Nothobranchius furzeri: one gene and its partner. The protein of the gene in region 2 purifies or fractionates together with the protein of the main gene of each other region. This does not show direct contact. Links are inferred from orthologs where the notes say so. Each region holds a gene or a part of one and is shown on either strand. Other genes may lie near its edges.

Region 1 (3,833 bases), on a different chromosome or scaffold from region 2:
CATAAGGTTGTATCTATGTTACAAAGACCCATTCTGGAAAACATAATTTCTCACTTTTCCCATAAAGATGCTTCTAAATGGCACAAAAAGGCAAACTTTACTCATCTGCTGACCCTTTTGTGCTTTACTTAAGTCAGCTGATCTGACATGAATCCCCTCACATCTACTAAAGCACAACCTCACCTAAAAATAACTTTAGAACAGAAGAAATCCCCTGTCATGCAAAATATGTTATCCACTCGCTACACAAACAAGAATGATTGTTGTCTGTTTATATGTTTGGGATTATTAGAGAATGCAATATGACAGGCTGAGTGTTTGATTACACTAGGGCAGGGGTGTCCAATCCTGGTCCTCGAGGGCCGTTATCCAGCACGTTTTTCGTTTTAACCTGCTTCAGCACACCTGATTTCAATCAGCAGGTGATTAACAGGCTTCTGCAGAGCCTGATGAGCTGCTGCACAGGTGATTCAACCAGCTAATCAAGCATTTTGAAGCAGAAAAACCACAAAACCTGCTGGTTACTGGCTCTCCAGGACCAGGATTGGACTCCCCTGCACTAGGGAGTGTATAAACTTAATTGTGATCCAAAGATCATGTTTTCTCTTTGTCCTGGTTTAAACGTTTATTTGTGTGCATTTCACTTTCATACATCTTGTTTTTTCATGCATGAGTCACATTTGTCTGTCTGTTTGCGGTGATTATTGAAAAGATAAATCTGATTGAAGAATACTTGATTTCTTTATTAAAAACATTTAAATAATGTCTTGTTTTGTCTGGCTAACAGGTTATATATACCATTACTGTTATGGTGCTGCGTGCTGGTGAGCATATCAACATTATTTTCCTCACCTGAGCTGAACACCTGTGTTGACCGGCATCATTTCAGGACAGAAGGCAGACAGATTTATTAAAATATGGCTGTAAAGCATATTTAACAAATACTCGTTCAAAATCACAAGCCAGTCATTTACGGTATTCAGTAGAAAGTAAAAGAAATTGTTTCACTCAGTCTGAGAACAATCTAAACAACTTGAGACATCAGGTGCTCAATTTAATCTGAATTCAGCATTAGCATTATGACTTTGGGGTCAATTTGTTAAATTTTTCATTTTTGAACAATCTGAAAAAGAAAATGATTGCTAGTGTTTATGCTTTATTCCTTCCACTACTTTATAGTTTAAAACATATATAAACGTTTTCATTTACTACCAACGTGTCTCAGATTGCGTTAACTAGCGGCTTGAAGCCTTGGTTCATGAAAAGGGCCCTTCTGGAACACATGGGTCAGCTCGGCTGCAGACGAATCGCTTTTCCTTCTGGGCTTCCGTAGCCACAACTAGTTTTTGGCGCCGCCTTCGTTGTGGGATCGACTTCATCCGAGCGGCGTGGTGCTGAACAACTATAGAAATCCGCGCGCTTTGGGTGAGTGTGCGGAGTTCTTCTCTTTTAAAACAATGTTGAGTATTTCTTTAATTACATCAGGCTACTCTGAGCGTGTTAAAACGCCACCTATACGTTGCTGGTTTTTTGACAAACAGCAGTTTAGTTGTTGACCCAGCAGCGTTAGCATCGCCATTGTTTAGCTATTACTGTAATATGTTAAGCTAGCTGAAAGTAAGGCAAGTAAGGTGTTGTTTTGTGGGGATGTGTTGTAGTTTTACCACAGTTTTTATTTTATCTTTTACAATTCTACTAATTCTGTTGCTCAAATAAAATCCGCAGATGAGACTGTTTAAAATCAAGGAAATTTTAGGTAAGGGGTCAGCGTGTTAGCAACCTTTGTTACGTTTAGCTGCTAAATGCTGAGCTAACTAGCAGGTGGGCCAAATTAGAGTAATGTCCTATGTTAGCGTTGGCTGAGTTATTTGTAGCCTAGCATCCGGGTGGATTTAAGGCCTTCCGAATAAATGCGGCTCGTCTTTTTATCTTTAAAAAGCAAAATGGGCAAGAAACAGAATACAAAGCCTAAGAAGGAGACCGAGACCCAGGAGGAGCCTGAAGAATTTGTTGTGGAGAAAGTGTTGGACCAGCGGATCGTCAACGGGAAAGTAGAGTTCTACCTGAAGTGGAAAGGCTTCACAGAGTGAGTTACCCGGGACAATGTCCTGCTCTCTCCGCCTCTAACGCACCGTGGCTGCATGAAGCCTCCCAGCTTTTCCCTTTTAACACGTTTGGGATGTTTTTGGTTTGAACGCTAACCTGTTTTTTTTTTTTTTTTTTTTGCTCCCTCAGAGCGGACAACACCTGGGAACCCGAGGATAACCTGGACTGCCCCGAGCTCATTCAGGCCTTTCTGGATTCCCAGAAGAATATAAAGGAGAAGCCGGCTGCAGTGAAGAGGAAGGCCTCCACAGATGATGCAGAAGAGGAACCCAAGAAGAAAGATGTGGTTAGATTATACGTTTTTTATGTCTCTGACCTGCTAGCATGATTCCCTGTAGGTTGTGCAATCAGAATATGGTTTATAACCTGTTTTTGTTTTTATTTGACAGCCTGATAAGCCTCGCGGCTTTGCCAGGAACCTGGAGCCAGAGCGAATCATTGGTGCCACAGACAGCAGCGGGGAGCTGATGTTCTTGATGAAGTGGTGAGTTAGGCAGACTTTACACCCAATTTCAACAAGAGTAGTTTCACATTTACCTCGGTTGCTTTGCATGGCCATTAGTGTTTTTTTAGGGAGTCGAACTAAAAGCGGAAAAGGTTTATTACAAACATGTAGAGTATTTAGAAATAAAATCACTTGAATATATATAATTTATTTCTTTGATTTTTAAATAGGCTTTTCTAAGATCTGCTGTTTTATTTTAGTTTTTATTTATTTTTTTGTCCCCCAGGAAAGAGTCAGATGAAGCAGACTTGGTCCCTGCTCGTGAGGCCAACACGCGCTGCCCTCAGGTGGTCATATCCTTCTATGAGGAGCGGCTGACGTGGCATTCCTGTCCAGAGGATGAGGCTCAGTAGCCTTTGCCTGGATTCTGCACACCTTTATGTTTTAGGTTTTTATTGTGTTCTCTGTTCTGCTTTTTTTTTTCTTCTTTAGCTACTTTAGCTGATTTGAGACAAAATCATTTGTATGGCAGTTGGGGTATTGTAGATTAAAAGTTTGTCAAAGCAGGTGACTGGGTTGGATATAAGATTAGTCAAAAAGCGATAATGTCAGTCCACATTCCAATTTGTTTATTTTTTTTACTTGAGTCTATGTCAACCTTTTTGAGTTCAGTTAAATGTTTTGTTCCTTGATGCAAGTGCCGACGTGTTTGAAATGAACGCTTTGTTTACAGTTTGTAAATATAAAGTTCAAATAAAGGTTTTATGTGGCCTAGTTTTACCCTCTTCATTTGTAGTTTAGGACAAATGCATACAGAAAAAAGAAAACCTAAATGTTGCTTTATTAAAAGTGTCACAGCCAGCTGAGTGGTTCTGTCAGGGTATCAATCCTTGGCCTACATCAGAATGTTATTTTGGCAGCAGCATTCTGATCTCCTTAGAGGAACAGTGGTGAGATATTTATCCAAGGAGGACCATGAATGTCCACACCTGTCTGGAGCTCTATCAGCTGCTCATTCTGTTCTGCACTTGGTGTAAATGAGGCTTCAGTCTGCTGGTTCTCAGTAATGGATAATGGTTGGTTTCTTCTATAACCACTTGTAAAGACACATTATGGAGTTTATTTTAAAAGTAACTGGTCACATGTTAACAGCTATTTGCCTGTCGGAGATGTTAAACTTCCAAAAAAGCCTGGAACAGCTGGCAGGAAGTGTTGATGAATGGAAACATTTAAAGGAGACTAAAATCAGTCCAACCATAGTTTTACCTGTCATTTGATCATT
Region 2 (4,160 bases):
TGATTAATGCTGCTGACAAAGATGTAATCTTAGATATTAAGAAAATAAGCCCGTTTTACCGGGACAAGGTTTATTTTACTCACGTTTCCGTCGACAACCGCAGGAATGGATAATCCAGGATGCGCTTTTTCGACCCCCTTCAAACGTTTCACGCATGCGCCACAACTGACGGCTTTGTAGTTTTTTAACGTCAGTACTTAACGCATTTGCCCTTCTGAAAAACTACATATCCCTGCAAAGGCTTGAGCGATAACGGAAAACGCGTGACAACATGATAAACGACGTCCATCTATGACCGATTGGTACGACTCAGTTCAAATGTATCCCGCCCACTTCCTAGTGTGTGAATTATGGTTGCAAATTTTATATAATTAAAACGCTTGTATGCAACGCTTGTATGCAGTATTTGACATAAGACAACTTTCTCACTGACACAAACATGCTAATGTTTGCGGTGTACTTAAAAATAAAAAAAGTATGTTAAAATGAAAATGAGCTTATTCAATTGAGAATGGTCAACATGTGGATTTGGCGCCATCTTGAGTCAGGTTCACAATAACGAATCATTAAAATCTAGTCAACACGTTTCATATGAAATTATTATCAATCAAAATTTGAGGATAACATAAACTGAAATATCCTTGGTTTGAAATTCAATGTGCTTAAGTTTATATATATATATATATATATATATACACGCCCTCTTTTAACAGAACAGTTTTCATGATTGGGTTCTCTTCAGGGCCAACACAAGGCAGATGACTTCTAAAGTTTTATCTGCTTGTTTTTGTCCACATTTATTGAATTTTAAAATCCCTGACATGATTTAAACTTTTTTCCATTTGCTTTGTTGTGTTTATTGTTGCTTTTTGTTGGTATTATTTGTGGTATGTGCTTTTTTGTTTTTGAAGTTGTATTAAATAAAGATTGTAAAAAAAAAAAGTCAATCCTATCACCCAATCACTGATCCTGAAACATCAACTGGAAGGAGTGTCTTTAGAAATGAATCTGCTACGTTTCGTTTCGTGGTACAGAGTGTCCCATTACCGGGTGGATAGTATGCGCTTAAAGTGCAATTTATTAAATAGATCACTTGTTTCTAAAACGTTACAGGCTTTATTATTGAGGAAAATATATAAATCATAAAGTATTTTCAACCTTTCTTTCTCTAAAGTTCAAAAAGCTTCACATAACGTGAAGGTTGACACAAACGTGCAGACCCGTTGTTCAAATCGAGCATACTCTGCAGAACCAGAGGAACGTTTTAGACCAATCAGCGAAGGTTATTGATGGAAGCAGCCGGCTCCCGCCAATTCCGACTCTGGAGCGCGAGGCAGACGTCGGGGTAGACCAAGGGACCACTTCGGAGGCACGGAAAGAGTTTTAGCTATGTTTTATCTGTTATAAAATGAGATTGCAGGCCATTTAAATAAGGACACAATAGTTTTGTAATATTAAAAGGCACTGGTTTGTGTTAACATTATATCTAGCGGTGTGTTAAAGTTGTTTTTGTCGTTAACACCGTGATCGTGAAAAGCCCCGGGTTAGTAGTTGGGATGTTGGCAGCCGAAAACGCATCTGTGGACGGACATTTGTCAGCATCGACTCCCCGCAGAAGAGGTAAAAAATCATCATGGCAGTGTACCGACATTATGATCGATTACTCGAAGTTTTAGTAATGTCATAGTGGAAGAACTGCTGTGCTATTTTGTTTGTATGGAGTATAAGTAAATTGCATCAACGATTAAATATATATATGTTGTACAATTTCAAATTTGTCAACGCTAACCTTTTCACAGCAGAGCTTTCACCGATCTTCTGTACTGAATTATGTTTTTGCACCAAATGCCAATTTATAAACGTTACAGCACAACTTCTGCGTAAAGCTAGCGGTCTCACAGAATGGATGTTATTATTTGACCAAACACCAGTTGTGGGAACTTTGTCGCATTTGCCATAGACTGGTTACACATCGACCAAGTCTTGCTATGCTACAATGACAAATGCTTTGGTAGCTCACGGATTGTCCTTCAAAGTTGCTGGCTAGTTTGATTAGACACAGCTAGGTATGTAGCATGCATCAGGGTCTCAAAGCTAACACCTAACATGAAAGCTACTTTTATATTGGAGCTGTCAAAGCTCCTCTAGTCCTCGGACTGTCACACACACGCCAGTGGTTTTGCGTTTGCCATCATTCTGTCACATTGCAGCCGTTTTTCTTATTTCCTACGTTTTCTGTCGTCCGTAGAAGGCAACCAAATCTCTGCCTGACAGACCGGAGGTGTTGGCCCTGTAGACTCGGGCCTGCAGTACCGGTTGACACAGTAGTTGGCGGGAGAGCGAGCCGAGCTGCACCAGCAGGGATACTTTACTGTTAGCACAGCGACGGCACAGAGAACCAGGGCTGCACAGCTGCACCCTTCAGTTTAGCTTTGCTTATGGTAGTAATGCCAAAACTACACAAACATATTGTTCATCCATGATTAATCCATTACTATATTTTTACAAGGATGTTAACGAATAGATTCACAGGTATTGTAATTGTGTTTAGTTTGATGAGTTTTACTGAAGTCTGATCAGTTTTGTGGTATTTTTAAAATGAAAAGCTTGAATCCTTTTAGCTTTTACAGTTGAGACTTGGCGCCTTTAGCCTAATAAGTCATCATCTTTAATAAGCTGAAATGTATTTCAACTTTGCATATAATCGTATTTTAAAAAATTGTTTTTGCTCTTTTCAGGAATGGATTGTAAGTCAAGTAATAATGCCAGCAAGAAACTAATTCAAGGTAAATATGTATTATTTACATAAGATCAAACACTGAAGAAAAAATAAAACACCCACGTTCATAAAAATGATGCACATATATAAACTACACTATTTTATTTAGTTTTAAATCTATTAGTCAAGAATAAAACAGTTTGGGGTCAATTATGCAATCTTTGACAGTAACCTAGAGATTGTGACGGGTGATAGGAAACGTATGGATGAGACTGACCAAGTAGGCTGCATGGTGGCGCAGTTGTTAGCACCGTTGCCTCGCAGCACGAAGGTCGCAGGTTCGAAACTCGGCTGTGGCCTTTCTGCATGGAGTTGCATGTTCTCCCCATGCATGCGTGGGTTTCCTCCGGGTACTCCGGTTTCCCCCACAGATCACAGCATGCCCTATAGGTTATAAATTGTAAGTCGCTTTGGATAAAAGCGTCTGCTAAATAAATAAACATAAACGCGAATAAACATAAACAAGTATGGATATGTCTGAAAACATAACGGTGAGTTGTGATTAGGGGTAAACCGATACTATCAGGCCCATATTCACCTTATACATTGGCATCGGCTGATATATCTCTTTAGTAAATCCAATTTAAAGTTGGCACATCTGTATATTTATGTTCCTGAATCTTTGTTTTATAAACTTTGGTTAAATGTTTTATTTTAATACTGAGGAGTACACAAAACAAATATTCCACAGTTAGTTCAACTCAGTGTTCAAAAACTGATTCAGGTTCAGAAATATTACTCACATCTGCCGTTGTTATTTGTGTCATTTTGATCATGTGAAAAATCTCAAGTCAGCCATGAAAATTAGCCGAAAAGAATCAGCAGCACTTATCGGCTGACCCTGACCTCTGCCTATCGACATTGGCGTTAGAAAAACCCATATCGGTTATCTCTAGTTTTGATGGTGAACATATAATCTTTAAGTGGCTACATAAATTAATTATTAGCTGTTAATAATTGGACAAAGTGTTTCTACATTAATAAAAGTTTGAAGAGCAACCGACTCACACACCAGATAAAGCGCCTGTCAGGTTTTATTAATAATGTGACATTAAGTGCTCAAAAATGTTACATGTTATTAATAATAAATGAATAATTTGTTTTTTATATTTATAGTTTGTACCAAATAAATAAAAATGCATGCACATAAAAAATCGGATGTATTTTTTATTTAGGTTTTTCCAAATATTTTTTTACATCTCATCTCCAACCCAGTCTAATTTGCAGATACACAACAGCTACGTGTCTAAAATAAGCTCCACTCCGCTGTGTTTGTCTCAGCGTGATTCCAGACCGGAGATTAAACTCTGAAAGTTTAGGAACTTTAACTCTTTGTTCTTAAAGGTTAGATCTTTTTTTACGTTTATCAGTTTTGAAGAAC

Evidence for each region. Proteins that work in one complex are often made in the same cells at the same time.
Region 1: the proteins of chaf1a (region 2) and cbx3a purify together in Homo sapiens (affinity purification with mass spectrometry; 5 studies listed by BioGRID and IntAct, with this or other methods). This does not show direct contact. The link is inferred for Nothobranchius furzeri from reciprocal best matches to the Homo sapiens genes CHAF1A and CBX3.

What each region holds. Positions count from the first base shown.
Region 1 is NC_091751.1:29,401,790-29,405,622, forward strand, and holds cbx3a (chromobox protein homolog 3a), read left to right. Parts: upstream 1-1,276; 5' UTR 1,277-1,425; intron 1,426-1,438; exon of another isoform or gene 1,439-1,756; intron 1,757-1,939; 5' UTR 1,940-1,943; coding exon 1,944-2,086; intron 2,087-2,235; coding exon 2,236-2,392; intron 2,393-2,495; coding exon 2,496-2,590; intron 2,591-2,837; coding exon 2,838-2,964; 3' UTR 2,965-3,325; downstream 3,326-3,833.
Region 2 is NC_091748.1:48,298,908-48,303,067, reverse strand, and holds the start of chaf1a (chromatin assembly factor 1 subunit A), read left to right. Parts: upstream 1-1,346; 5' UTR 1,347-1,556; coding exon 1,557-1,620; intron 1,621-2,738; coding exon 2,739-2,786; intron 2,787-4,160. Other genes in the region: scamp4 (secretory carrier-associated membrane protein 4), read right to left, coding at 84-156. UniProt on the Homo sapiens protein: Acts as a component of the histone chaperone complex chromatin assembly factor 1 (CAF-1), which assembles histone octamers onto DNA during replication and repair.